Lepisosteus oculatus: one gene and its partners. The protein of the gene in region 1 purifies or fractionates together with the protein of each later gene. This does not show direct contact. Links are inferred from orthologs where the notes say so. Each region holds a gene or a part of one and is shown on either strand. Other genes may lie near its edges.

Evidence for each region.
Region 2: the proteins of ftsj3 (region 1) and nop2 fractionate together in Homo sapiens (co-fractionation; 3 studies listed by BioGRID and IntAct, with this or other methods). This does not show direct contact. The link is inferred for Lepisosteus oculatus from reciprocal best matches to the Homo sapiens genes FTSJ3 and NOP2.
Region 3: the proteins of ftsj3 (region 1) and nifk fractionate together in Homo sapiens (co-fractionation; 3 studies listed by BioGRID, with this or other methods). This does not show direct contact. The link is inferred for Lepisosteus oculatus from reciprocal best matches to the Homo sapiens genes FTSJ3 and NIFK.

Annotation. Positions count from the first base shown.
Region 1 is NC_090708.1:19,037,491-19,047,862, forward strand, and holds the start of ftsj3 (pre-rRNA 2'-O-ribose RNA methyltransferase FTSJ3), read right to left. Parts: upstream 4,776-10,372; 5' UTR 4,653-4,775; coding exon 4,586-4,652; intron 4,052-4,585; coding exon 3,946-4,051; intron 3,089-3,945; coding exon 3,042-3,088; intron 2,342-3,041; coding exon 2,262-2,341; intron 1,288-2,261; coding exon 1,188-1,287; intron 618-1,187; coding exon 423-617; intron 1-422.
Region 2 is NC_090718.1:3,595,575-3,605,527, forward strand, and holds the start of nop2 (28S rRNA (cytosine(4447)-C(5))-methyltransferase), read left to right. Parts: upstream 1-5,805; 5' UTR 5,806-5,895; intron 5,896-6,836; exon of another isoform or gene 6,837-6,953; intron 6,954-7,707; 5' UTR 7,708-7,736; coding exon 7,737-7,842; intron 7,843-8,191; coding exon 8,192-8,234; intron 8,235-8,332; coding exon 8,333-8,412; intron 8,413-8,721; coding exon 8,722-8,975; intron 8,976-9,116; coding exon 9,117-9,297; intron 9,298-9,507; coding exon 9,508-9,707; intron 9,708-9,953. Other genes in the region: histone H1-like, read right to left, coding at 1-225; histone H2B 1/2, read right to left, coding at 3,314-3,688; histone H1.2-like, read right to left, coding at 4,802-5,391, 5,594-5,711. UniProt on the Homo sapiens protein: S-adenosyl-L-methionine-dependent methyltransferase that specifically methylates the C(5) position of cytosine 4447 in 28S rRNA. Required for efficient rRNA processing and 60S ribosomal subunit biogenesis.
Region 3 is NC_090707.1:4,288,771-4,299,111, forward strand, and holds nifk (MKI67 FHA domain-interacting nucleolar phosphoprotein), read right to left. Parts: upstream 3,810-10,341; 5' UTR 3,695-3,809; coding exon 3,578-3,694; intron 3,233-3,577; coding exon 3,104-3,232; intron 1,973-3,103; coding exon 1,864-1,972; intron 1,512-1,863; coding exon 1,300-1,511; intron 874-1,299; coding exon 808-873; intron 496-807; coding exon 355-495; 3' UTR 86-354; downstream 1-85. Other genes in the region: high affinity cGMP-specific 3',5'-cyclic phosphodiesterase 9A, read left to right, coding at 4,992-5,157.

The DNA of each region.
Region 1 (10,372 bases):
TGTAGATTTCAAATGGCTTGTTTTTAATGATAATGTTGAGACTTCAGCTTTCACATAAATTGCTATTTCATGTTTTTTTGTGGTAAAAACATTCAGAGCATTTCAAAATCAGGTTAGGACATGCTTAAATCCCAAAATAAGTGAAATATACAACATCAGACATTATCAGCAATGATAAAAATACCATGATCTATCCAACTATCTATTTTCTAACCACCTCTTCTAATTCAGGAGCCAGAGTCTATCCAGGCAATCAACGGACACAAATATCATGATGCTTTTACCAAAACAAACTGAACACCGACATCAAAACCTGATGGAGTTCGAACAATCAGACAGAAGGGACTGACAGCCATCCGGCAGGGAAGACCCCGGGAGAGGCCAGGCGCCCGTGCGGCGGGGGGGCCGGAGGCGGATCGTACCCTGGCAGACGACGAAGATCTCGGCGGACTCGTTTCGCGAGGCCTGCGGCTTGGTGGCCTGCACGCGCCGGAAGAACTGCTGGAAAATCCAGAGCAGCGGCTGGTAGTCCCGGGAACGGAACACCTTCGTGATGAAGCAGCCTCCCTTGGTCAGGAACTCACACGCCAGCTTCAGAGCCATGAGGGTCAGGTGGGCTGGGGGGAAGAGGGGGAGCGAGTCAGTCAGGGAGGTCGGGGGCAGAAGACCGAAGGGAGTGACGGATTGCAGGAAAGACAGCGAGCGAGAAATCTAAGTTACACCTGAGTACAATCGGGTGGTCACAGAGAGGGAAGGCAACAGTGGCACAGTGGCCCAAGGATATCAGAGAGTCACCTTCTCTAAACTCCTTCAAATCCAGACTCAAAACCTTCTTCTTTAGAAGAGCCTTTACTTAACTGGTTCCAGTTTTTACCCCTCTGCTTCTTCGTTTCTTAGTACCACCATCTACGGTCTCCTCTGTATATTGTAATTGTGTTTTATCTTGTATTCTTTTAATTTATTGTTGTCATTCTGTAAAGTGCTTTGTGAAGCCACCTTTAAAGGCCCTATATCAAAATAAAGTTTTTTATTATCGTTACTTAAGAAGACAGTGTGCATGTATGCTGGTTCTACAGACAGCTTTATGCCAAGTCTGCTTGTGCACCTGTTTTGGTGCGAGTCTCTGTGCGTCAGGTGTGTTTGTCTGGTGTTCGGAGAACCAATAGTGCCGATGCCAGTCCGCTGACCTTGTGAGTAGGCATCATGTTGCCAGTTGGCTCCCACGTTGGGGGCTCCATCATTCAGAACCACATCCACCTTCCAGGTCTGGAGCTCCTTCCTGATAGCCTAGCAGGCAGACACACCACAGTGAGGAAGACAGCCTTGCAGCCAGGGGAAACCCCCAGGGATCCCCGCCCTGGGTTCTCAGGAGATGACGCAGACGTTCACATTATGTTTATTTCCCTTACTTCAGCATAAAGGTTTAAATGCATAAAGGTGCCGAACAAAGGCTGACAAGAAAGCACTCTTGCTGAGCCACCTGATGTCAGTGAGAGTAGGTTGCCACACCCGAGAGCTTCTTCTCTGCAGGACTGAATCTCTCCTGCCTGACACCTGCACTTGTTAAGGCCACATCTTGATCTTTCTTTTCTTTCTGTCACTTTGTCTTCTGGGAACCTCTTGGCTGGGTCTTTATTGGACTTTGTTCTCAACTGACCTCCACAGTTAAACAGTTATTCTTATTTAATATTAATCTCACCATACAACATAATGGCTAAGATCTACAGATCAAGTCTGCTAATGGACCTCAAAACCCTGCCAGGAGATGTTTTTCTCTGTTATGTAAAATAGATCCTAATATATGGTTCTTGGGTGACTAGGCTGTTAGCAATGTAGTAAGCTAAAAAAAATAGCAGTTCTACTGTGTTAACTGCCTGATATCAATACCTTAAAAGGCTGAAAATCTGACTAAGTAAAATGTGGTATAAGTGCACTCTCTTGTCAATCCTAGTTCAATGTCATGTGTTGGGACACTTCACTTTCTAAAACTTTAATTTCAGGGATTTAACATTCCAAGCATGCCAGTATTTTATTAACGACACTACCAACACCCCCACAGGGCAGATAAATTCTCTCCCTCGCTGGGCTAGTTTCCAGATTTAAAAGGCCTTTCTCGACACAGCTGATGGACTAACTGCACGAACCACACCCCAGTCACTTGCTTAACTACGAATGAATTTATTAGCCAACACACCCTCTGGCACAGCGGACATCACAGGGTCATGTCACATTGGGTTTCACTTCTTTTAAGCTCTCCCTACCTGCCGGCATTTCTCAGTGGTGATATCCTCTTGCAGAGTGACCACGTTGGGGATGGGCTTAATGGGCACCAAGTCCACACCTGGAGTGCAAGAGGCAGAGAGGAAGAGAAGCAGAGAAAAGAGTATGTCAGGCAGAGGAGGAGACACACTCACAGTGGTTCTTCCACAGATCATTAGCCCTACAGCATATGCTGCTGTGCATGAGCTTACAGCAATAATTAACACAGGACTCTCCAGCGCTGGTCCTGCAAAGCCCCAATGCAGCAGGTTTTATAGATCACCATTAAATTGTCAATCTCTGAACACTCAGAGCAATGTGATCAAGTGAGTTGGTAGTTTAAATTATAGATTACTTGGGACCAATCCTAGTACCTCTCAACCCATAAAGATCACAGTTCTCTTAACTGAACATGATAAGTGCTTAAGTTATATGTTATATTAAGTCTCCATTCTGTAAGAAAATGTGAGATGCCTTTTTTCCCAAATTTTACAAAAGCTATAAAGTACAACCTGCACAAGAATATGTTTGAGTAACAGGGCTTTGAGCCAACTGAAAACCAGAAACAGTGTGACTCACGTGAGGTCATACACGCACACTTGTACAATGTGGAACAAGTTAATAAAAATGGATGACATTCAATGACCCAATAATACCATGCCAGTTTTTCTAGTATATCCCAGGACTGGATTATGTTAAAATGCAGGTAGCATATGAATCCTGTTGAATAGAAACACACATATAAACCACACTTGTAGACACAGAAACAGAGCTGAACTCACCAATAATGAGGCTGGACACTGGCATGAATTTGGACGCCACCTGCAGCCTACAGAGAGAAACAAGATGAGAGAAGCAGAAAAACGCAACGCCACAGACACATAATGCAATGCATTCGCAAATCCTACTACATTCCATCTTGGACACTAAATGACTTCATTATAATCAGTAGTCCACTCAACCAGCCTATAATTACTACTGTTTCCATGTCTTCACTCACTGAGGATTATAAATCACCCATAAACCCTGCAGGAACACAGGGATAACTATCACTGCTGAAGGGAAGCAACACTGGGCATTGCTCCAGGGACTACAGGCAATTAATAACATCACACTAAATACAAGTACAGTACCCTAAACTTACTTCAGAATTAATGTCTTAAAAGTGCAAACTGTGAAAGTGAATTTCACATACCCCCTTACTGCACTTTACTAATTAGCACATTTTTCATTGGGAGATTACCACACCATCAGAAATGTACACAGTGAAATTTCTCATGTATAATAGACATGTAACTAGGCAACCACTTCACCAATATCTCCTCACACACAGCACGTAAAGAAGCTGAAGCAGGAAACTCCGAGTGTAGGCTTGTTTTATGGGACAGGTTAGAGAGGTACTGCACACTTCCCTACTCCCTGGCACACTGAAGCTGAAGTCTGAGCTGCTGTGTAAATGCACATGGGTTTGTCATGTTGCACAAGAGCATTTAGTTCGTAATATATTCACATTACTGCCTCATTTCTGTGGCCTTATGCTCCTTGTCCTAAGGTTGCAATTATGCCGTTACTATTTTCAGCGACCCCAAGCAAATGACCCCCCCCCCCCAAGTTCAAGGGGGCACCTATCTTCGCCCCCCATGAACATTTAAACGCACAAGTGAGCCAGTTCCACGCTACACTCACCAGCCGCCCGGCGCGGCACACAGGTCCAGCAGCGCCCGAGCTTTCTGCAGGAACTGGAACTTGCGGTTCAGCTGGATGAGCTTGAAAGAGGAGCGAGAGCGGTAACCTGGAAGTAACAGCACAGCCTAAGACTCTGAGGGAACACCGACGGGGCACACGACACAGACACAGACACAGACACAGCAGCAGCATGGACAGATCATCAGAACAGCATGCGACGCAGTCTAATCTCTGTTTACCTGCGAGACAGCAGCTCTCGTCGCCTTAGCTAAATGATCCCAAAATCAAACCCTAGGCAAATGAGCCCTTAATCCCAGTAAGACTGATACTAATGATTTGGAGCACGGATAGTTCCCGGAGACTGCTGGATCACAGAAAACTGTTTATCTTAGGTGTCTGTAGAATTTCAGAACAGCTTCCTAAGCATTAGGAAGATAGTGCGTTATTTGTAGACAGTGGTTATGCTATATTCTGTTTTAATATATGAAAAACGCAATGTACGGCCATTCGATGGGCATTTTAAAGAAGAGCCCGGTTCGCATGATACATTACAGACCAGCCGACTTCTCCTGACAACCCCGTCTTAAAGAGGCCACACTCGTCTTCCCGGCCTCCACCGACAAGACAGAAACATACTCACCCGTCTCTTTAGCCAAGTGGTAGAATTTATCTTTCCTGGTCTTTCCGACTTTAAGTTTCTTTCCCATTGCTCCACCGGTGAAGGGGCGTTAAAGAGACAAATAAATATATTCTAGTCCGAAATTTCTACGAACTCCAACAAGCTCTCATCCGACAATCCACCACCGAAGGAAAACAACACGTGCACTTACTGCGCCTCTATTCTGCGTCACTCATGTTGTCGTCATCAAAAGACTGCCGATGAACTTTAAAAAAAAAGAATTTTCGGCTAGGCGTTAGACATACTGTACGGCTAATTCCTTGAATGGGAGCTTGAAGCACTAAGAACAAGATGTTTGGCAGGGTCCTTTCCATCAGTATCTGCACATCATTAATTGAAAAATATTAAGAGTTGTTTAAAAAGCTTTAGTGAAACAACAATTTTAAACCAAGTTGAAACAGATAATAATAATAATAATTGATTACACTTATATAGCACTTTTCTGGACACTCCACTCAAAGCACTTTACAGGTAATGGGGACTCCCCTCCACCACCACCAATGTACAGCCCCACCTGGATGATGCAACAGCAGCAGGCTCATAGTGCACCAGAACACTCAAAATGCAGGAGAGCAGGGTGATGAAGCCAATTCATAAAGGGGTATATTAGGAGGCCATGATTGGTAAGGGGCAATGGGAAATTTGACCAGGACACTGGGGCTACACCCTGGGGTTTTTAATGACCACAGAGAGTCAGGACCTTGGTTTTACATCTCATCTGAAGGACAGTACCTGTCCTTGTGGGCATTAGGACCCACAAGGACCACAGGGTGAGCACCCCCTGCAGGCTCCACTGACATCTCTTCCAGCAGCAACCTTAGTTTTTCCCAGGAGGTCTCCCATCCAGGTACTGACCAGGCTTACACCTGCTTAGCTTCAATGGGTTGTCAGTTGTGAGTTGCAGGGTGATATACTGTAGCTGCTGTCTATGATATACGCGCTATGATAGTTCTACTTATTATGACACACACAAACAAGATGCTTTAGTAGATGACTACTAAGCTCTGAGTAAAGAAAACAGTTAAAAATCAACCAAGTTGTTCACGTTTTCAATAAGCTTAATTGAATATGAGATAATTTCCAATGAACTACAGGGTTACAAGGATTGAAAAACACTTATTGTATTTTAGAGAACCTGCTTTGTTTCAATTTAATGACAACCACAAGAGGGAAGCAGTGATTCATGAAATTAATACTGAAATGCTCATGATACTATCACAGAAGACATCAGTATGAGTAATCATGGGAGGTGAAGATTACAGAAACAGAATTTTTACACACATATAAAAAATTGTAAAGGGAGGAGGACAGTAGGGAGGAAGCCAGTTCATAGATGGGGATTATTAGGAGGCCATGATTGGTAAAGGCCAGGGGGAAAGGATGATGGGGTTACACCTTGGCCTGGATTTGGAGTTAAGCAACAGTTCTAGGATAACCTAATCTGATCAATTTCCATGTTGTCAGTTCTTAAAATGCAACACCAATTTAGAAAATTTGAACCCCATGGTGCTCAGATGAGGGTTGGAAAAGCTGGAGTTCACTGTGTTATTTAACAAAGGGATTCTTAATTCTTAAGACTTGTCTGCCTTTTTGGTTTATGCAGAGATACCCTTTCGGAACAATTTAAAGTGACCACAAGGTGATAAAGATCAATTTTTAGTTCAATTGGCTATTCTGGATTTGAACAGGAGCAATGCCAACATTTTGGTATCAACGTCAGAGAGTCTGATGTTGAGCTGGAGTGAAGCATGTGGGGAAGCTGCTGATATTTGTCAAGTTTCAAGTCAATCAGTTTCCGAAAAAGTTGAATTTAAAAAAGGCTTTTCAACAATGCAGCTCAGTCCATTATCTTGGTAGATGGTAGGTGATGTGTATTGGACAGCAATATTATTGTCACATGTCAAATAGAAGGCACTTGGTTGGTACCTGTCATTTTACACAGGGATCAGCTATAGGTCTGAACTTTGCAGATACAACAGCACAAATGACCAGTGGTGGTCTGTGGCTGTCATGGTTTGCATAGGAGCCTATACAATCATTTCACTGTATTTTCAGCAGTTTGTATTAGGGGATGTGTTTCTTAATGGCCTGGAAAGACTTTGAAAAGAGTTAGTTGTATCCTGTAAGCTGCAAGTCTTGAAGCATATTTTGAGTACAGATGAAACCTGTCAAGTTCCACTTCAGCTTGTTGTTTGAAGGCAGTTGTTTGAATCTAGCTGCATGCAAAAGTCCCATTTTTGCTGTACAGAATTCCGCCATTTATTAATGGAGTGCTCACAAGTGATTCTTACTAAGTCTGGAGTTAGTAATCAGGTTATGAACAGCAAGACTTCGTGTTCTGGGACGCCTGTCAACAACAAAAAGAAATTGTGTCCATCTATGTTTATATAGAAGCTCTTTTGATGCTAGAATTAGATCTATCAAGGCTGGAAGTGATTGGCCTTACATTTTTAAGGAGCTTTTTAAGGAGTGGGTGTAAAAATGATTGCAGCAACTTGTTTTGCTGGTGAAATTGTGGACCATGTCTCAATTCCATCAGTTGCAGTGGATCTCAGGAAGATGATTTTGAAACCCCTTTCAAATGCAAGGTTTAAAAAAAAAAAAAACATTAAAAATGGTCACAATCGCCGTGAGTCTCCACTACACCGAAGCCTGTTTAGTCATCATCATGACTTCACAATATGCAGTACAAAGATCGCTGGCTGCTAATGGTCATGTCATGAAATTGCTGACAGAAAGCAAGGGGTTAGGCCGCAGGCAGGGTGCAGGAATGGCAGGTGCTGCAATTATCTCAATGCTGTGGTGTTGATGTGATCGCCCCGGGGTTGTGCCCTTTCACACAAAAGCGCCAGTCCCATGATGTCGAGCGATGCCAGGGCTGATCAGCGAGTTTCTCCCAGCGCAGGGCTGAGAGGCGGACGAGGGAAATGGGAGCCCGAGGACATGAAGAAAGGGGGGCGCAGGAGAGAGGGAGCCACGCTGTGCAGAGAGAGACCCCCCTCCCGGCAGCGCAAGATGGGAGAAAACTGTCCGTGACTGCAGGGGAAGAGAGGGCATGGAAAAGGGAAGAAAAGCAGGGCGAAAGGGGTGTGACAGCACCAGAGGAGCGAAGAGAGGGATTATCTTCTCTCACATGGTGCGCTCGATCATTCCCACTATTGTCGGCAGAACAATGAAGGCCCCCGATCCAGGGCTTAAAAAGGATAGATAGAGCTGGGCAGGCTGGCTGATAACGACTGTGGTGCAAGACGGCGATCAAAGAGAGGCGAAAAGGTATGCCCATTACATTCTGTGTGCTTGTCTGTCTGTCTTTTCACAATTCCAGTGCAATTCTAGCAGCTGGAGATGCCAACAGAGGAGAGGTTTGAGACACAAACCTGTGACAACTTAATTCCTTCCTTCATTGGTTCAGACCTTGAAGTGACCGTAGTAACTGCTTTGGATTCAGGCACTTAAAGTTACCACAATTAGTGGACTCAGTGGTGTTTAAAACCTTAAGCATTTTCCAAACTAGTGAAAGTCACTATTGACCAACACGTGTCTCTGAGTCATTAGAGAAGCTCTTCTTTTTCCAAGCTTGTTGATTCAGCCCTGAGCTTCAATAGCATGGCTCTGTGGCTTGCCCTAGTTTGGTCAAGGCTCTGTTTAGAAAAGTTCTACAGTAGCTGTTCTCAATGTTAAATATTCCTTCTCTTATTTTCAGTATCTCGAATCCTTGTTTCATTAATGACTTGAAAGTGGTGCTATTGGTCCATTTGGCAACACCACTCAAGATTCTGAATAGGAGTACACCTGTTCCATTATCCCTAGGCTACAGAGGTTCAGTTCTTTTAGCTTGTCTGTCCGTTGCAAGCAGGGACTAGCTTGACTGTTTCTTTCAGGGGAGCTGCCTGACAGTCCATCCATTTCCTAACCACTTTATCCAATGCAGGGTTGCTGAGTCTCTCCCGGCAATTCTTCAGGTCCTGTCTTGGCCCCTAGCATGTATTCTGTGCGCCTCTTCAATGCTTATGTCCTGCCGGGCCAGGGTGTTTGTAGGAATCGCTGTAAGGAGTGGTGATTTTAAGAGTCATGCTGGATCATCACACTCACTTCCATCTGAAAAAAACAAAAGTTAAACATTGATGAGCTGTAATCACTTTGCATTCCAGACTCCCTTTTCATAATATAAGGATTTTAAACTTTTTTTCCCCCTGTGCTCACCAACACCATGTCTAGATATCCGAACGCTTGAATGCACACCCATCACAGTTATCCGTGAGCTCTAGGGAATTTGTGAATGTACTGGCACAATATTTAGTTGTAACAGTAAATCGCGCGAGTTTAAATTGGCTGTTAGGAATCAATCGGCAGAACAAGGAGTCTTCATAAGGTTGAACAACTCACGGAATACATTTATCAATACATAAAAACAATGTGTACTTAAAAGTATTCATAATATCAAGGTGAAAGCGAAGAGGTACATTAAAACAAGGATACTACGTTTAGTACAGTATAACGTTGATTACACTAAATTTCTTATCAATCTCACTAACATAATCAACATTCAGGCGCTCTTAAGTAGCTACAGCTACTTACTGTACATTGATTTAATTGATATTAACACATTCATATAACCATTTTATTCTCGAGAGGGTGAATATTCACTTATATTCATCCACATGGAATGTTAATTCGTGCAGAAGGATGGATAACAGCTGACTGGGTCCGTCGCAGCGCCGTTCAAACTGTGCTTTTTGGCTCAGCGCCAATCCAGTACTAATCCAGGCAGTTCTGGAAAGGGGGAGCTGCTCTAGAATCGCGCTGACAGTCGATTCCCTCATATGGATTGTGCGGGTTAGCGCTGAGATGAACTGGGACAAAGTCTGTGCACATCACTGCTCAGTCGGGTCGAGTCGGGGCGAGTCACAGTAAAAGGGGAGAAACTCGGTTTGCTCAAGGCGGAGCGGCTGCTCGCTGCTGCTCAATAATGCTCTATTCAGGCGTGTCAACGGAAAAGTCCGACCATATTGCTCCGGCGATCAAGCGGGCGCACGGTCCTGCTGCAGGCTAGACCTCAGGCAGAATTGTGGTTTTACATGCTGCGCTTCGGGAAAAAGTTTAAATCCCAACGTTTTGACAGCAGGTGCAGCTGGCACGTGGTCCTCCTGTCGGTGAGTCAAGTAGATTCTGCAGAGAGAGGGGGACGCAGTTAGGGGTGATGCACTGATTCTTAACTGGGGAAAAAGTGGTGATTAATCATGAAGCTACCCACATCCTGCAGTCAACCTAATTGATTGGTCATCTTGCTGGATGAGTGACCTTTTCCTGTGACTTTTGGGATTATCTCCAGATGTGCCTATCCCACTGCCAGACAACCTGGCACAAGCAGTGGACATCCATCTTTAAGGGGTGTTGACAATGGATCTGGACTGTCCTGGGAAAGATCCTTATCCGAGAGATAAGCCCATCTCTCATTTTTACTGGCTGTAGATGCTGATCCCTTGTGATTTCCACAGGGCAGCCATCTTAGTTCTTGCAGATGCTTTTGAACAACAGGGCATTGGGGTAGGGGAAATGGTGAAGAACCAGTCATTTTCAATGTTCCTGCTATCCCAAGATGGGTCAGAAACACAAAATGAAAAACAAGTGAACACTAGAATGATCAGAATCAGAGGAGCAGGTGTCTGTGTACCAGGTGGCTACCAAGCCAACGTACCAATTACCTGATGCCCTGACTAGGTCCTATAGCTTACGGTCTCATCCAGA
Region 2 (9,953 bases), on another chromosome or scaffold:
GGCCAGCTTGACGCGGGAGTTGTTCTTCTCCACGTCGTAGCCGCCGGCCGCCAGGGACTTCTTCAGGGCGGCCAGGGACACGCCGCTCCGCTCCTTGGAGGCGGACACGGCCTGCAGGATGAGCTCTCCCACGCTGGGGCCCGCTTTCTTGGGCTTGGCGGCGCTCTTCTTCTTGGGCGCCTTGGCCGGCGCGGCGGCGGGGGCCGGAGCGACTTCTTCTGCCATCGCTGCGTCTCTGTCTGCTGTCGGACTGTCTGCGGCTCCGCGCGCAGGCGGAACTTCAAGGCCGCATGAGAACCGTGGAGACTCAACCGCTGCTGCTGCTGCAGCTCCGCTCCGCACAGCCCGCTCGCACTTGTGTTTTCTCCCCGCACAAAACTGCCCCGTAATCCTCACAAATACACAGAAACGAGTACAAGAGATGCAAAATGCAGAGGAAACCCCCTGGTCTTTAATATGCAGTTGAGTTACAGGTTTTTCTGTACAGTAATTTTGACAGAATTGCCCAAACTCCAACAACAGAGCTCACGAAAGGCGGTGCTCACCCGGCACTTTGTCGTCTATTTCTAGAATAAATGTACTTAAACCATCAGTAAAGATAAAAACAATGTTTAAATAATACTGCCGAGGCCGACGGTCATGTAACACAATAAAAGTGAATTCTGAATTATTTAAAACGGATGATTTATTTTGCTCTATGTTCAGTGTTATTAACACACTCCCGGACTCGCTGTTTCTAAGAAGGAGACGGACAAGTTTTGTCAAACTAGACCGTTTTATCCCTGTGAAATTCTGAGTATTTCGAGTTTTTTCACCGATACGCTTTTATAAAATGCTGTACACGCGTATTCTGACACTTTGTTTATCTCATAAATTTCCAAATCACTTCCTTCAAAGGCGATTCTTCAACGGGGCTTTAGTAAAGACTGCAACTCTCTACCGTCAATACCAACATTCCTGAAGCTCTTTCTAAACCTGTTACTTCGGATTGCAGTTCCTCCAGATCCTTCAGCATCGTCCCAGCTTCTCGGGAGGAGACAGTTAGCAGAAAGCCCGTGATATTACTGCTCGTACAAGACGGGCAGAAAAAAGCGGATTTTCAAATGCTTAGTTTTATTTTCTTTCATCTGGCTGGTGTGAACGCCCGTCCATTCCCCAGACATTTAAATTAATTAGTTTGTCTCTGGGGCTCACGGTAGGGCTAATACCAATTCAACAGGAACAGGGCACTAGGCTGGAGACATGCAGACTCCATACAGAAGGATTCTTCCATCCCGAATTAAAATCAAGACCTGCGAGGCAGCAGTTTCGGACGCTTTATTTTGAAACTATTAATCTTGATACTATTAATCAAATAGAATATCTACACTAATACTAAAGTATCCACACAGCTGAGTTGAAACAGCCTGAGTTCTTGTACTTAGTTAATTGCCGGTTCTTTTATACACAATTCTCTTTATTTCTTCAGACTGACTCCTGTCTCTTTAATCTCACATTCCACTGCCATGTGGAGGGGGTTTGTTCTCACTGGTTTCTTATTGTTCTCATTAATTCTTCAGTCTTGCTACAGGTTAATTTTGTTACAGTTCGTTACTCATAAACACCAAACTGCTTCAGCTGGTGTGTATATTACATACACCTAACAAGCATTTTTTTTAATCAGCTTTACCCAAAGAGTTGTGGGTGAATGGTGCAAGTTGTCCAAACAAGTCTCTAGACACAACACAATGAGATCTGTGTCTATTAGCGACTATCTACCTATCAATTTACTGTCTTCTATGATTCTATGCTTTCTATGCTAACTGGCTGAAAAGCTTATCAAAAGAACAAGTTCTAACCTGGACCCCCTGGAGGTAGTGGCTGAAAGGAGAATGGTGTCCAAATTAATGGCCATCATGGACAGCGTCTCCCATCCCCTCTATGACATGCTTGTGAGAACGAAGAACACGTTCAGCAGTAGGCTGATCCAACCACATGCGACAGGGGGCGCTACAGGGGGTAATTTCCTGCCTTCTGCCATCAGACTGTGCAACTCCTCCACTGTGTGTCTGGGCAGGGGCAACATTGACCTGTTTTTGGGAATGAAAATGAATTTCTCTGTTTACAGCTGGTTTTCCTCTTTCCAACTGATTTGTGTGCAATATATGCTTTGTGTAATATATTTATAATGTGCAATATATCTTTTTGTATACTGTACATTCTGGTTTGTCTTACATCTCCTGTAATGTGAGCAATTCTATATACTCCATTTTTAAAAAGGTTTTACTGCACTTCTCACTGACTGTACTTACTGTATTGTTGTAATATTGTATCATTCGTTACATTGTCCTGTGGTAACAGTGCCAGTCTGCTGGTGCACTGCAATTTCCCTCAGGGGATTAATAAAGTATCCTGAAGAGAGTTCTGTTGTATATAAGAACAACGTCCTTCTTTCAGATTTGATATAAATCAGTTGCAATGACTACATTCTTTTAACCCCGGTTGCTTCTAAATCAAAAACACAGATTAAGCACAGGCACATCAGTACAAATACGTTGTTTCTTCAGACCTTGGACTGTATATTTTTTCATGCATTCTTGATCTTACCTATATTTCATTCTCTCTCATTTCATAATTACGATATGCATCGGGTTTAAAGAACTGACCTTCTTTAGAGATTTTTAATAAGGGGTAAGAAGTTTTTAGGTCTAAGTGGCTGCAGTAAAGGTCAAGAACCTCTGCTTTCTTTATTATGGGCTTTTTAAGAGAAACGATTCCTTCTCTCCTGCTCCCTCTGCTGGACAGCTGTGGTCTCTGCTCCCTGAGCCTTGTCCTGGTTGAGCTGTAGCCTTACAAACAGGGACATACTTTTCTATCGGACCTGTCCAGCACTTAACTTGGCGAGGTACACTTGAATAATTTGAAACAGCGGTTAGCCGCTTACAGCCACTTGGTCAGAAGAGGAGCTGTGTGTGATTTAAGTCAGGGTGAATTTGAATCGAGCACAGGATACACTTTACACAGAATTGGGGGAAGTAAACAGCAGACTGATGGACAATTTTAACGTTCATCCTAACAAGCTTCTCGAATTTAAGCACATCGGAACGACAAGCGAGAATTATACGATATTGCTTAAAGAACCAAGTGGGAAATGTTTTTTGTTTTTTTTTATTAAATCAATCAAATCCAAGTTATTTTAGTGCCATTGCACTATATTGTCTATTTCCACGGTTTGAAGCAAGAAGGAAGAAATCATGATTGCTCTTTTACGGACTCTGTGGGTGGCTCTTAAAAGAGCCTTTGGGTTCGCTGATCCGGGACGGGCGGGCCGGGTTTACTTGGAGCTGGTGTACTTGGTGACGGCCTTGGTGCCCTCGGACACGGCGTGCTTGGCCAGCTCTCCGGGCAGCAGCAGGCGCACGGCGGTCTGGATCTCCCGGGAGGTGATGGTGGAGCGCTTGTTGTAGTGCGCCAGGCGGGAGGCCTCGCCGGCGATGCGCTCGAAGATGTCGCTGACGAACGAGTTCATGATGCCCATGGCCTTCGACGAGATGCCGGTGTCCGGGTGCACCTGCTTCAGCACCTTGTACACGTAGATGGCGTAGCTCTCCTTCCTGGTCTTTCTGCGCTTTTTGCCGCCCTTCCCGGCCGTCTTGGTCACGGCTTTCTTGGAGCCCTTCTTGGGAGCGGATTTCGCTGGTTCAGGCATCTTCTCAAATTACGTACTGCGTACAAAATGATGAAACTCACGCCTCCTGCAGCCCCCTATTTATAGCGGCTGTATGCAAATCATCTCGCTCAGCTGAGAAGGAGGCTCATTGGTCAGCTAGAGAGCTGCTCTCCTATTGGCTGCGCTCTGCGCCAATGAAATTCAAACGGCTGAGCGCCTGAGCCGCTCGCTCTGACTCCAGGCGCCTCTCTCTCCCCTCCGCCCGAGCACTCAGGAACAAAGGGCCGTGCGATCCGTTTTGCACTACGTGCAGATTTTCTGAAATCCGACTCTCATGCCGTTTATATCCCCTATCCTAGAAAACAATGTGCTTGGCGTAAACTGTGCGATTTGTGCAAACTTGGGAGTCAAAAGCCCGCTCGCTCTGATTCCAAGCTACTAGGACAGCAACTTTGCTGCAGTTTGCGCTCCGAGGTGCACTAACAGCCCTGACCTCTAATTGTGTATTTTGTTTTTAAATCTCACGATTCAGTCGCCTTATATTTTCTCATATTTGTGACTGAGATAGTTCGATCATCATAAGAGCTGATTGTTTTGAAGCAAATCCAAAAGTAATTTAATTTTCATGGGAGAAAAAAGGACCTTTGTTATTGGGGAGTGCGCTTATACACTAACCTATTTTAAAAGATCTTCACTATCAACTCAATAGCGTGTTTTTTTTAAGTAAATAAAATAAACAGTACCAATTCATGTATTAATAGTTTTTATTTAAGGTCTAAAATTAACTATCGTTCCACTGATATGTATTTCTGCTCCGCTAAACGCAGATGGTCTTAACAGCATTAATCTAATTCATATGAAATGCAATCTAGGTACCACTGCAAAGATTTTCCTTTTCACTTTAAAAAATAAAGGCTGATATGCAAACCAACAGTACATCCTTTAAGTGGGACACAATCCTCAATCAAGTCACCTGATATATTTTGTCATACATGTAAGAATTCATCTGCATTTAATTTTTTTTTTTTAATTGTGTGCATGATAAAGGATGTGTAGGGGATAAATACACCGGAACTCTTGAAGTTATCATTTAAAGCTGCTTAGCCCGTTTATTTGTTGATTCACTCATATAAAATCAAAAACCTTTCCGTTTTAACGCCTCTTTTTCGGAGCCGGTTTTCTGGGCGCCTTCTTCGCCGCCCTGCCTTTCACAGCTGGGCTCTTGCCCTTATCAGCGCCTCGCCTGTCTGCGACCTTCGTGGGTTTCTGCCCGGTGGGCACCTTGCCCGCGGCTCCGGCCGGCTTGTTGGTCCTGCCATGACGCCCCGCCGGCTTAGTCTTTGCGGCGGCCTGTCTGTGTCCCTCCGCCCCCCGCTTCGCGGCTTTCCGTGCCCGCTCCGTCGTCGCCGCCGCCGCTGCCGGCTTCGCCCTCCTCTCCCTGGCCGGGTTGAGCGCGAAGGAGCCCGTCGCGCCTCTGCCCCCGGTCTGCACCAGCGTCTCCCGCCGCACCAGGCCCCTGACCGCCGCGGCGACCCGCGTGTCGTTCCTCTCCACGTCGTAGCCGCCGGACGCCAGGACCTTCCTCAGCTCCGCCATGCACAGGCCGCCCCGCTGCTTCGACGCGGCCACCACCCGGAGGATGAGCGCGGAGACGCTGCCGCCGCCGCCGCTCCCTCTCTTCCCGGCCTGGGCGCCAGCCGCCGCCGCCGGCCTCTTGTTCTTCAACCCGCCGACCGCGGTTTCTGGCAAAAAGGAAGTGAGAACGACATTAGGCGAGAGGGCGGTGTCTAGACATCGTTTTCACTCTTTCCAAAACTGCACAGGCGCTGTGACGGAACACCACGGCATCATAATGAATTAAAATGACAGCGAGAGGCGCGGGTGTTTTGTTTATGTCAGCCGTGCTCAGGGGCGGCCGGCTGGGATTGGGGGGGTCACACTGACTGGGCGCGGCGCCGGCGGCCTCCGGGCCTTCGTCCCGCAGCGCCTTCTTGAGCAGCCGGCCGAGGCGCTTGGCTCCGGCCTTGCCGAGTCCCCGGCCGCCCGGCTCCCTCCCGGACATAGTGTTTCTGGAAAAGCGTCAGCCGAACGGACAGAGCCCAGAGCTCCGTTGGCAGACATGGAAATGTCCCGTCGCTCCCAGTGAGGCAGCGCTGCCGCCGGCAACGTCTCTCTCCGTCCGTTAGGGGATTTGTTTCCGAACTGCGGTTGCCTGGCGACGGAGGGTCCCGCGTGCTGGTGCCCAGGTGAGATGTATTTTTCTTTACGCCGGGACACCTGCAGTTGATAACTGCACCCCGAGCCACAGCGCCTACCTGAGGCTTTTGGGAGCCTTAATAATATAACTTTCATAATGCATGAGAGACAAATCAAGACTAAATAAAGACCTATTTCTGACTGTTTATAGAAGCATTTTACCTCTATGTACATGTACACTCTAGGTCTTTATTTTTTTCATTGGGTTTTTCTTTTAAATGATTATTATTAATTATTATTGTTAGTTTCCCGATATGTTCAGTGTCTTGGATTCACTCCACCCTGCTGACCGGAATTTATTTCCTTAGGTTAATTCTTAGTTTCAGGTACAAGAGTTCTGTGGTTTACAACAGCTTGCTACAGCGAACCTTTGTAAATATGTTTGTCTTAATGTTTTTTTTTTGTTTCAGAACCCTAAATTGTAACTCTAACAGATCTTTTCCCACTTTTAATTGAGTGTGCACAGATAGTACAATCCAGGATCATCCAAATAAAGAAAGTTCGTACGTGCCGGCGGTCTCAGTTCTGTTAAAATAACTTAATGACTGAATTTATACTTTTGTGTTCAGTTCAATCTTCTGATCAACGTTGTTGAACAAAGCAGCAGCAAGTTATAACCCCCCAAGTTAGTGAGAGTATCTACGTACGTCTTTTAATCTAATGCATGAAATATTTTTCGTATTAATGTATTTGAAAAACGTGCTGCCTTCAAAACCTTTGCCTATTAATACCCGCCTCGTCTCTTGCCAAAACTGTTAGTTTGAGCTCTTACAAACCACTTCAGCTTATTAATGGCCGGCCTTTGGAGCGCGAGAGGTTAAAAAAAGGCTCTTAATACGTCACGGAGACCCGCTCTATACCGGCGTGTGTTTTGGTAAGCGCTCTGCGTGATGTCATAAAGGATGCGACGGAAATAGCTCTCTCTGCTAAGCGACGGAAACACGTGCCAGTCTTTGCGCACATTTCTCGTTTTCGTTCGTGCTACTACGGCTGCATGTGCCCGGACTTTTAATACTTTAGAGCTGGATGATTCGCCTTTTACAAACCAGTGAGTTTTCTTTTTACTTAAAGATATAAAAAATCGAGGGACACAGGAGGGTGGGGGGAGAGAAATCTTGACTGTGCGGTTAAAGTCCTGTTACGATTGTAAACGGATTCTTGTAAAACTTCAATACGAAATCGAACTATTGAGATGTTTATTTACTACCGCCGTATCCTCGTTAAAACATTAAGTGAAACGATAGTAGTAAAGAAGAAGTGTTAAGACATAGAAAAGGTAAGGTAATAAAAAAAAACCCTGCCCCGATCAAATTTAACTTAGTGGCCTGTAGATTGATTAGTGATCGGAGGAGGATTTCTTTAAAAACGCTATGGAAATGTGTTCGCTTTTAGTCAGCAACTAAAATTAAAACGAAGTACTGTTACTAGAAGCTGAAGTACTAGTACCCCGTGAAATTGTGATAGAGGTAAACCAGATTCCTATCGTGCAGCGGTTTCATCACAGTAGCCTGCAACCTATCAAATGTGAAATGTTGTTGGTATTTTAATAATTGATTTAGACATCTGATATCGCTTTGCTTTTTCTTGTAGATTGCAGGTTTGTAGACGTTCTAGTTATTTCTCTCTGAACTACATCTGTTAAACAGTGTTTTCTTTTTCTTAACCAGACGGATTTTATTTGTAAGAAATATCAAGCCATGCGAATCTGTAGGATTTCCAGTATTCGAAGTTTTGCTTTGCAGGATCTGTCATGTTACGTTCGAGATCATATGTCTAAATTCATTTTATTTTCGTTTGTATAGGCTGTGATTGGTTAATTTAGAGGTCAGTCATGGGGCGGAAGTTAGATCCCACCAATAAGCAGAAGCGAGGGCCAGGACGAAAGGCCAGAAAGCAGAAGGGTGCAGAGACAGAGATTCCCAACTTCTTGCTGGAGGGTAAGCAGCCATCCTGATCATTATGACTGTGATGTACTGGGTGGACTAACATGAGCTCCACCTGCTTAGACTCCCACTGACAGAGCAGGCTGGACTGGACTGACTGGACTGGGAGCTGGATGAGTTCTTTACTGGGATTATAATCAGACTCACACTGACACTGACAGAGCAGTCTGAGACTCTCCAGGCTGGACTGGACTGACTGGACTGTGAACTGGCTCAATTGTTAACATATTACTCTACCAGTATTAGTATTATTATGTCAGAGTCACTTCAGTGTGAGATGTGAGACAGTTGTTTTAAATAAAATAATCACTAATATAATTTGAAAATGTGTTCCCTTTTTTAGGTGATAGTGCGTCTAAAAGACTTGGAAGCAGAGCAAGGAAACGGTAGGAAATATCATCACCACTACTGTTCTTGGTATTTTAAATTGCTGTTCCCCTGCTTCTTGCAAGTTGTGATTGTTGCTATTGTTACTTCTCCATAGTGCTGTGAAGCGTTCTGTTCCCACCTCCCAGCCTAAGAAGCCTGAAAAATCAGAAATAGAACCAAAACAGACAAAGAAAGGTAATCAAATCTTAATGCTTAAAACAATGTCTGCTGAATAAACAAAATGTATTAGTTGTGTTTCTAGGGTCTATATTAGGGTCTGTATGAATCTCTGTGTGTGAGGAGTGTCTCTAGGGTCTATAGTAGGCTCTGTATTATTCTCTGTGTGTGAGGTGTGTCTCTAGGGTCTATAGTAGGCTCTGTATTAATCTGTGTGTGTGAGGTGTGTCTCTAGGGTCTATAGTAGGCTCTGTATTATTCTCTGTGTGTGAGGTGTGTCTCTAGGGTCTATAGTAGGGTCTGTATTAATCAATTTGACTTACTCAGGCTTCAGCGATGAGAACAGCGAGTGGTTGAAGCCAGCGAAGCGGAAGCGTCCCGTGGCTCAGTCCGACAGCGAGTGCGATTCGGAGGCTGAGGAAGAGGAGGTGCAGGAAGGGAGCGAGGGAGAAGCCCGGGAGGAGGACGTGGGCGCGGGAGGGGAGGAGGAAGCTGAGACGGATGACGATGAGATGGTAGACGACTACGGAGTGGCGGAGGACAGCGATGAGGGAGAGGAAGAAGGCAGCGACGGGGAGGAGGTATAAGCCTGCCTGGTGTTCTCCCTTTAAGATTGGTTAGAAGTTAACAGTGGAGGTGAAGAGTTTACTTCTTTGGTTTGCAGGCACTGATGTCTTATTTTATAATAAGACATTGTCTCTCTTCCTGCTGTGCCCCCCCAGTTGCTGCCGATCGAGAGAGCGGCAAAGAAGCAGAAGAAGTTGGAGAGGGAGCTGGAGGAGGACAGCGAGGAAGAGGAGGATGAGGAGGAGGAGACGGGGAGCGAGGGTGACGCCCCACTTGCGGCTGCCGACGAGATGGAGAAGTTCCAGCTGCCCACTTCAGAGGAGAGAGCGAGAGAGGGTGGGCCTGCTTCCTTTGGGGGGGGGAGAAAGCCGGATTTCAGATCATTTTTCTCCATTCCCCTAGCAACAGCCTCCGTTTGGCTGTCGGGAATTGCCCAGCTGATTTTGGATTTGAAATAGCTGTATGATTTTTTTTTTTAATTCGCTCATCCTTAACTGCTGGTTAACCCTCACCCCCTGTCCCTTTTCTCCGTGCTCTCCCACTCAGGCCTGCTGCCCCTGGACCTGCAGTCCATCCACCAGCGGATTAAGGACAACGTCGACGTCCTGGGACACTTCAGCGCCAAGCGGGAGGAGGGGAGGGAGAGGGGGGAGTACGTGGCCCTCCTCAAGCAGGATCTGGCCATGTACTACAGCTACAACACCTACCTCATCGAGCAGATCATGGACCTCTTCCCCCCTGCGGAGGTCAGTGCCCATGGGGAATTGAAGGGTCTGGCTGTGGGATCTGCTGAGCTGAGGGGGCCCGTTTTTTTCAGCTTGGGTTCAACCAGCCGCTGGCCTTCCGCCTACCAGACCCCCATCCTGCCTGTGGAATTGGGGGCTGGCGAATGAGTAAGCAGACGGGAAGTACGAGCCTCATCGCACGAGGCAGACCCTTGCGCTGCCTGCCGAGGTGTCACGGCGCTGTCCGCCGTTCGCGAAACGGGCTCC
Region 3 (10,341 bases), on another chromosome or scaffold:
CTATGCTGGAATGCTAGAAGCTCAAACCATCATTTAAATTATTCTTAAAGAGGAAAGGATAAGAAAAAGGGTAACTGGTACACTCCTGATTACAACTCATATATTTATAATACAACTGCTAGCATTCACAAGAATACAAATTGTACAATATGAAGGCAAAGTGATTTGTACTGTTCTACTATAATACAGTACGAGAAGTAAATGAATTCTAAAGGTTTCTTCCTTTCCTGTTTGCGGAATATCAGTCACTCCTGCAGGAACAATTTAAAAAACAGAGTTTAAGGGAAGATCTTTTACTTCCACAGCAGGTTAAAGATTGAATATTGCCCAAATTAGTCCATTTTTAGTTCCTCATTACCGCGTCTTCTTTTTGCCTTTTGACTTCTTTGGTGCAGGTGTGGCCTTGATTATAATTTCATCATCACCATCGCTGTCCTCCACTTTCATTGACTTTCTTTTCTCCAACACAGTTGGTGTGCAGACTGGCGTGACATCCTACAGACACAAAGAAAAAGACACACGCTGAGTACAAAGCTTCCTAACAGGATGCCCTTTGAACATTAATAATTTGTTGCAGGGAAAAGTCACAGAGAACACACCAAAATTGATAACAGGTTAGATCTTATAATCTTCCCTGTCACTATGCGGGGAGAAGAAACCTTTTGCAATCTTAAGGGCTCATATTATGGTGCCTTGAGTTGGTTGACTGAATCATACATGCAAGTCTCAGAGTTAAATTGTACAGCTTTGCATGTTTCCTACTCGTTTTACAATACGTGTTTTAAAAGACACATTAATACAACATACTAGACTGTCAGTCATGGAGGCCGAATTCTCTGCAGAGGTCTTCTTCTTTTTGGATACTTGGGCAGACTAAAAAAAGAAAAAAAAAACATACATTATGAAGCCATTTACAAAATACCATTCAGAAATATTAAGAGCACAGTACAGTTATTTCAACTTCTGAGAACCCTTTCATGATGAAGCAGAGTTAAGCGATAGCCACACACCCCTGCATTAGCTCAGTGACAAAGGCCCTGTTTAGTTAAAAACAACTAGAAAAGCAGCAATTAAATATCACTTTTTAACAGACGAGTTATGCTAAAGGGCCCCAAAAAGTTGCACGAGTAGTGTAGATAATTATATTCAGAGATGACGTTTTTATTCTACAGACAGACAGCAAGAAAAAAGGAAAATAATCTGTTGAGAAGACTTTGCAAGGAACGTTTTTAGGACTATACCACCGCACAGGCAGTACCCTTATTATAGAGCTATTCAGGCAGTTTTAAGCGGACTTACAAATCCCGGGAAATCATAATCTATTCCTTTCTCTGCCAGCCTTTTTCTTAAACCTGCTTCCTTTTGTAAAAGTCTGCTGGTCATCTGCGCCTTCTGCCGAGGTGTGCGCTTCCTGTTGTAGCGGCCGACCGCCGGGCGCGAGGGCTTCTTAAACGGAGTCTGACTTCCTTTGAAAAGCTCCGGCTTCACCTTTTCGGGTGGGATAACGTGACCTGCGGAGCAAGGCACAGAGAAGTTCACCCCGACTCCGTGCGTGGAACGGTCCTGAGTGATTTCTATGTGGATAAAAAACAAACAAACCATCTCTTTGTGCTCCCCCCTCAAACTCAACCAGAGCTCCCACAATAACCAGTCACACTGGTGAGACCGAACTGATGTAAGAAAAATGGAACTGGCACCAAAAGGACACCGCCGCCTTTCTATAATCTAGCACTTCCCAGGCTAAAAGGACAGAAGTCAAGACTTTTCAGAAAATTCTGTTCTTAAAAGAGAGATTTTCGGACATACACATTACACAATCACCGCAAGTGTTCCAGAAACACACTTCATCCCTCCCTTACTTACATTTTATGAGCCTTTCACGCAGGAGATAATTGTTCATCGTATCTGCCACTATCTTAGCCACTTCGTCGCACTCAAATTCCACAAACGCATAGCCCTTGCTGCCACCTGTCTGAAAACCAAGAACAAGGTGAATGAATAAAGCAAGCAGATGCAAGGATTTTAAAATTGCATTTAAAATCCTTTTGTCCATGTGCTTTGCAGAAATGTATTCTGATCGAGGGACAGACATGAAGTCAGAAAGCACACATTTGTTTTCCCACATCAGAACCCCCGTTGCGCTCTTTGGCCCAATTAATGGATATCTTTCGATCACACACGCCTTAATCAGTATATTGAAGAAGAATGATTTTTCTTGTTCCCTTATTAAGAACACTGAGAAGAGTAATAGGTTAAATAGCTTCACATGCTTTAAGGACGAAGAGTTGATTGAAACATTCATTTCACAATGGCAGTTTGAAAAATACACTCTCTGCTCCTTATAATCTAAGAGTGCTCCTTTTCGAAGGAATAGTTGTTATGCATAAAAGCTATTGCATTTGCTAAAGGACTAAAATGTTCTGTTAAATGACCAATAGTGACACTAAAGGTAGGTAGGTTAGGTCCCCTTTTCAGGCCATCCAGGCCCATGGGGAATGTGGGGGCAAGGGCCACCATTGTTCTCAATCATCCCACACTGGAGGTGGAGGCGATGTGGTCAGCACCACGCTCCGGCGGGTCTATTACCCCCAGAAGGATTAACCCCCAGTCTGGTACTCATGTGGAAAGCAGGCTGAGTGGACCTGGGAGCCGTCTGGAAGGAATCAGAGCTCCATCGCTTGCCCCTCCCTGGGATCGAACCCGGGACCTTCCGGTCAGGAGCTACCACGGCTCCAACGACACTAAACATTTACAGAAATTTAATTTTGTTCATTACCAAATTGCAAAAGTAAATGCGTAGATATTCTCAAGCAAGACCACAAACATACAGGGACATTAACTGATGCAGTAACTGCATAAAACAAAAGAAAACCTTAACAACTAATATATTAGAGATTACAGATGACAATTCATTATGGAACTATGAAACGGTTTTACTTTGCAACAGTATCTGATTTTTCCGTATTTACTTTACGTATTAGCGTATATTTTGTAAGTTCTCCTGTATAAGGGCATCTGTTAAGCTTAATAACAGCACTGCAATGCAAGAACTCTGGAAATGCCTATATAACGGAACCCACATCTGTAATCTAAAACGTCCCACCTTTTTACTCCTGGACAGTCGTAACCTTTGAACTTTGCCAAACTGGGAGAAGTACTGTCGGATCTGAGGCTCGAAGAACCCATTGGGGATGTGGCCGAGGTAAATCACACCTGGGGTCAGCCTCTCATGCTGCCGAAATGAATCAGGAAGAAAGTGAAGGAAACAACAAACACAACTCTTAACAAAAAAAGCCCACATTAGAGGCGGATAACTTCACATTTTAAAGGGAATGCTCTCGCTTCAGTAACATGACGCCACACGTAGGCTGCTACTGTGTTCCTCCTCGCCTTCATGTCACACATGCCCCGAACAGCACCCGCACAATTTTATTTCGAAATATTAAAGCGCATTTCGACCTCGATGACTTCCTTGGCTACACCGTAAAGTTTAAAACGCTCGATTACATACAGATTGATCTGATCTCGACCTTTTAATTTACACGCTCTGTTTCTTTGATGGTTGGAGTTCGCTTACTTTCTTAGATCGCTTTTTCACTTCTCGCACTTTGTTCTTAAATTCAGCCTCTTCGCTCGGGTTCAGAGCGAGCAGGTTCCGGGCGGCTGGAGCAGGGGCCGAGCTGCCTTCTGTCATCGTCGACGAAAATGATCAACCTTTTCTTTAAAGCGGACTATTTTCCTCCTATTCCTCCACTCAATGCAGCACCACAACCACGTTGTTTCTTTGCACTTCGTACCAGAGAAAGCAAGAACTGAATAGAGCAACTTGGGGGGAAACGACACTTTCTTCTTCTTTAGCGCCCCCTGTCTACAGGGAGGATTAAGGTCTTCAGCGGCAAGCTGTGAAAGGCACTGTAAATGCATGAGACTCGTCTACGGCGAAATGAACTGTTCCCACACAACATTTTAAACCCGATTTTTTTAAATAAAGATTTTATTTACTTGACAAACCAGCGGGTACAGCAACTGAAAAATGTGTTGCATAGTTTTTTTGCTCGTTTATTTGAACAAATGTTTTCCTGCACTCGCCTTAGTTTCCGATTACTGTGCTGGAGTGACCTATTCTTCTCCCCCTCGGTGGTTTCTCTGACACTTAGTCTAGAATATTGGTTGACTGGTGTTGAGCCACACCATGCCCTTCCTGTTTCACCCCAGTGTAGCTGGATTAAAGTTTGTGTGCCACCTGCGTTTAGGTCAGATTCAGATTTAATGCTGGGTTGTGGGTAGAGTTCATGCCCTCCTCCGTTTGAGAAGGATTGGGGTTAGGAATACCTGGGCTATGAGGGAGTCAATTTCTGTGGAAATGAGTGGCGACTGGTCGAGGTGCCCCTATTGCTTTGGCACCAGTTCTGTTCGGGCCCCTGCTACTGATGAAGCAATGTCTCGAGTTCGTCTGGCAGTGACCAGGCGCCGGCTACAGGTTGCCTCAGTAGTTATGGTTTATGGTTGATACTGCTTCTGTAGCTCTGAGTCCCCTGCCCTCTCATTCCAGTATCCGCTGACCTGGGAAAAGGGATGAGGTTTGGAGGGGATGTTAAGGTTACTTTTGGAGGGTTGGTGTTAAGTTTAATTGCTTTTACTTGTGATTTTGAGTTCCAGTGCTGAACTCTTTTATCGCTAAGAATGTAGAATTTAATTTTCTCTGGTTTAGGGTTAGGGGTTAGTAGTTACGTGTTAGGGATTAGGGGTTATGGGGTATCACCTAACTTCGTCACCTGCATTGCAGCAGCTGTGCATGGCACTGTGCTTGCTCACTGTGTTGTGTTTAAGGAATACTATAATAATACGTTTGCAGAAGCTGCCCAGATCCAGCAGCAGCTTCTGGTGGGAGGGGAGATCTTTTCATTGAAAAGAAAACTGCAGAAGATGCAGACTGTGTTTTGGAAACAGAGAGAGAGAGAGAGGACAGAGGTGTCCCTCGTTTAAACGTGATGCTTGAAGTCTTCAACAGCAGTTCGCAGTGGAACCGGAGAGCGAATGATTCCCACCCGCAAAGCTGTTTTCTTCAAATGGCAGCAAAAATCATTTATTTCACGGTGAACGGGAGAGCAGAGCAGGCTGAGTTCCGAGAAGACTGTCCTGCACAAGATGTGAAAGGTACAGTAAGTGCATGAGACTCGTCTACGGCGAAACGAACTGTTCCCACACAGCATTTTAAAGCGATTAGTTAAAAATATGTTTGATTTACTTGACAAGCCAACGGCTACAGCAACTGAAAAATGCGTTGCCTAATTTTTTTGCTTGTTTATTTTAACACGATATATATATATTTTTTTTAAAAGTGTTAACTTTTAATACATATTTTGGCTCTCTCATGATTTCTTAACTTTCATCACGTTGACGTGATCACGAGCTTTTAATTGTAATGGAGTTTTGGTATTTTAAAGATATTTAATAAAAGCAATATTTGATGAACATATAGATCTTAAAAAGTTGAGAAAATGGGGCTAATACGTGGATGTACTGACATATTCTCTAAAGCAGTTCTGTCTTCTCGGGTTTTTCCCGTTTAATTGAATATTACCGGATATAAACACAATTTCACCAGTGTTGCGAATTGCGAATAGTTTTGCAAATGTATCATTCTCTACTACAGCAGTACACATTATTAATTTTTAGAGATCATCCATTACAGATAGTGGAAGTCTGATAGAGTAGCTAAAAGCGAAATATAAGAAGAAAACTGGAAGGAAGCGATTGGAAACACCTGAAGCAGAATTTAGAGGCCACTGAATCTACACAATATAGACTACTCAACCAGTGGGAGGGTATAGCACAGTGGCCAGACACTGGGTACCTGCTTGAGTATCATTTGTATGTTAAATATCTTATCTGGACACGAAATTTTCTTGAGCTCTGGAACACAAGTTAACGTTACTGTTGGTTTACAAAAATAAATAATTTATAAACTTTGTTCCAAATTACAGTGTCAACCCCATAAACAAAACCCAGCAACGGGCAATTAACCTGAATTCGAAATCAAACCATGTTTTCTGCATGGTACGGGCTTACCTCAAGCCAAACTAAACAATGTATCGATTAAAATATCCAGTGAAGCAGCACAGGATTCTACAGTGGGGGACTACTGAACAGAATGGCCTTTATGGGTTTTTAAAAGATTTTAAAGTATGGAAATTACTTTAGGCCTTTTTGCTTTTTTCCTTTTAAGACGCTTTAGGTAAAATTTGCCTATTGTCAGGTTCAATCAAACTGTAAAAAATATTGACTTGTGAAAAATCATATTTCTGTCAATATGGATGCTAAGAAAAAACATCAATATCTGAATTTTTAAAATGAAATCCCTTCTCAGATTGCTTTTCCCTTTTAAACAGAGACACAGGTGTTTTTGACAGAGAGGTATTTAATTGAAGAGCATAAGGAGAGAAGCAACATATGGTATCCTGAGCTTTTAGACTCAACCTTTTTTCTTCCACATAAAGAGAAATATGGTGGGAGGAAACAACATTTTTGGGCATATCTAGGCACAAACCCAGTACTGAAAAATGTTTTACAGATGCAACAGAGAGTGTGATCTCAAATGTGCTGACAATATTTGCACCTTATTTAAAAATAACTCTCATGACCGAAGCCAATATTGTCAAAGCTCTGTGTTAGTCACTCTTTCTCCTTCCCAGCAACCTTTTCAAAGTCTGATATATGTGATCTCCTGTGATGGGCATAGTTAATACTATAAAGGAACAAGTAACGGTCTATTTCATCCTAAAAAGCAAAGAGACACAATGTTTCATCTTCTTCGAGTGTTACTACTATAGTAGTTAACACTTCTCTTCCTGTGATCTATTGTTGATAAGATGACTAATTTTAACAACCCCAGAAAGAACATTCAGTTATGATGACCCACTGCCCTCAGGTTTCTCAAGAGTTTAGTCAATTGCAACATCTGCCTTACATTAATAGAAATAAACCTCTTCTGCTAAAGAGCTTTCAGTGAGACGCAGAAGTCTAAAAAGAATCTCTATGCTTAACAATACGTTAAGATGGGGGAGATGAACACAGGAGGACATGCAGTCAGGCTGGTTCAGTGTGGCCCAGAGCCCAGCTAAGACTGCTTGACAAAGACTGTGAACCAGCTGATTTGCAAGGTTATTTATCCTAAACTGTAACTTTAAGTGGTCAGAGCGCAGCTTGATATGCCCCTTTTATTGGTTATGTGACAGTGGTCGAGGGTGTTATAGCCTCTGGTCGCCGTGGTGAAATTTTGGCAAAACTTTCCCGAGATTGCAGGCCCCCATAAAGATCAATGCGGCATCGGGCTTCAAACTTTCGTGTTTGTGTTTATCACGCTGTACAGTTCACCAAGCGCCGCCTCAGCATTTGCTTGTGGTTGGATGTAAACAGCGGTTAGAACAGAGCTAAATTCCCTAGGTAGATGGGCCGGCATTTTACCATGAGAAACCTGTGAGAGAACAAATCTTTAACAAGATGAAAGACCATATGAGAAAGCAAGGAGGCAACATAAAACCGCAAAGCATTTGACTTTGAAGAAGCAAGATTTCAGGGTCTGAACAGATTTTGTTTTTCACTAAGACAGAAACTGTGTTCAGGGAGGTGAAACAAAGAGAAAGGTTGTCACGCCTATTGTTGAAAACATAGTGGAGTACACATCTGCTTTTTTTCCACAGGCAAGGCTGGCCTTTGTATAATAGAGACATCAATTAATGCAACAAAATAACGAGGTGTTTTGCACTGTGGGGTGTTATCTAGAGCCACAAGAGCTTAATAATTGGGCTGGAGTTCCTACTCCAGCAGGATAATTAACCCAAGTCTTCTGCAAGGTCTTCAAAGACATTTCTGAAAAAAGATTTGAGTTATGGATTGGCCACTTAACTGTACATCCCCAGGGCTGCTGTTACAAAGATGCCTAACACATCCTCAGAAAGATGCGAAGAACTGGTATAAAACACAAGGAAGACCACCAGTGGTCCAGGAAGCAAAGAGTGTGGACAGCTTCCCAAATACTTCTGTCCTAGCATGGATTTATCGTCTCTCTATTTTATTTGTTTTCAGCACATTTTGTAGTGTTTTGTTGTGACATTAAATCTTTTGTATCTTTCAGCTGCAACACTGAAATTTAGAGAAACCACTTTTTTGTGTTTAGTCTCAGTTTTAATGTAATTTGTAAAAAGGCTTTAGTTTGCGACGGTACTCTCTTGTTGTAAAATCTAAGAATAGCTCTGCTAAAATGGCACATCGTGTGCTGAAATTCCTAGGACATGTAGCTTGTGCTGAAAAACATATTTGTGTTCACAGGTCTGGATGAATACATTCAACCCATACATACATGAAAGTATGAATGTTACCTATTTGCTGTTGAGTGTTCCTGTCAAACACAGCAGTACCTGCCTTTTGATAGCAATTATTGGACGCGCTATGTATAGCTTCTCAATATGATCCATGTGAACAGCATTGTCTGGAGTTTGCCCAAGAAGGTTTGAATGCAGGTTGTAGAAAGAATCCTTTTATTTACCATAGCACAGCTGTTAGGATGGAAGGGAGTAGTGTAAAAATGGCTGTGTTTATTCTAAGGTTCTTATCTTCCTTTCTGAACATTATTCTATTTCAATCTTTCTGAATTGTCCCTGCTGTGTTTTTACGTGGCACTAATTGATGGAAAATTCAATAAAAGCACATTATTTTTTCTTGGTCCACCTGAACAATCTGTCATACATTTTTTATAAAAGAGACTTTTTTTTTTCATGTCCTAGTATACCCACAAAGAAGTGATGCAGATGAAGTGGGAAGGCCAGTCAACTGGCAACAGATTTTTTTACTGTCTTTCATTTTGCCAGTTTTCAGCATTCAGAGGCGGTTTAAACTGGTCGAATACTTGTTTTCTATATTCACATTGTTCTGCCATTTGGAATATAAAAAGGTACTTCCCCATTCAAAAGTAATGAACCCTTTAAATACCTACTGTAAAAGGAAGGAAACATTTTCCCGTCGCTTCCATTAAAATGTTAGGATTAACATCATGACAAATGTGAAAATAACAATAATATGCCTACACATTTTTAATCTTTAGTATTTTATTAAAAACTGCAATATGATGATTGTATAATGATTCAGAGCTATGAACTCAATATTTCTTTGCACTGATTCTCACTTACAGTATATGCTTTGTTGTAAAGGATTTAAAAACTTATGCAGTCGTGAAATTTCCATTTTTATTTTATCTACATTATTTACTTTTTTTCTGTTTGTTTTGCTTTGAATGTTTGGTGCAGGTTGTGAACAAAACAGCTATCATTTGCTACTTCAAAGTGTCACCCTTTAAAGCAATGTGGAGCTGTGAAAGGATCTGAATTTATTTGCAAAGCACCGTAGAAATAGATATACAGTATATCTAGATGTAGACATTAAAGCTGGAAATACAGGGTTATAAGATGGGACTCTTATACCCCAGCCCTTCTTCTACCTTCACCTGGAGGGACAAACAGTATAATGTCCCCAGTGTCCTCAGTCTGTCCCCAGTGTCCTCTGCCTGTTTCCAGCATTTGACACTCTGACATTATTGACACCCTGCTTTAAGTAGGAAGAAACCCCCGAACTCCATTAGGGACATGATGCTGCCCTAAAATATTCTTCTTGAAGCCTTTGCCAGCTCTAGGGTTTAAGGCATTTTCTTTTGTTCTCCATACTCATATTTCTTAATCAGTAAAGGTCTTAGTAATTTGGCAGGTGAAATACTAGTGGCTGTAATGAATTAATTCGGTGTGGTTAAGCTCATTATGAGCTAGCCTGGAAACCAAGCGATCCCCAGGAGGGCTCTGTTGTGAATAGAAGGAAATGTCAGGGCAGGACTGGATATCAGAAAAGGTAGCTACCAACTGCATTTATCCTCTGTTATTGCCAATAGGCTGTTTATCAGTTTCCTGCTTTAAAAACCTAATGAGTTCATATAAGTTCATATCGCTAACCTCTTTACCTTTACAAATATTTCATCATGAATCATTCTCTGACATGAAGATGAAACTAGGAAGCATATATCTCAATTGACTTTAAATGTTTAATACTACACTCAAATGCAGTAATACTTTATACACCAGGACTAATACAGTATATACAGTCTCCTCTTAATGAATCATAGCAGTATAAAATTGAATTTTCACTAAAATTCACTAAAAACAATGTGACTAATAAGTGCAATTCCTCAGTATTTAAAAAAAAAGTAAATTCAGTTCTACTCTCCCGAGCCAATCAAACAAATTGATAGCGTTGACCCTCTTTATTTTGAGAGAACATCCTATCACCCTGGCTTTG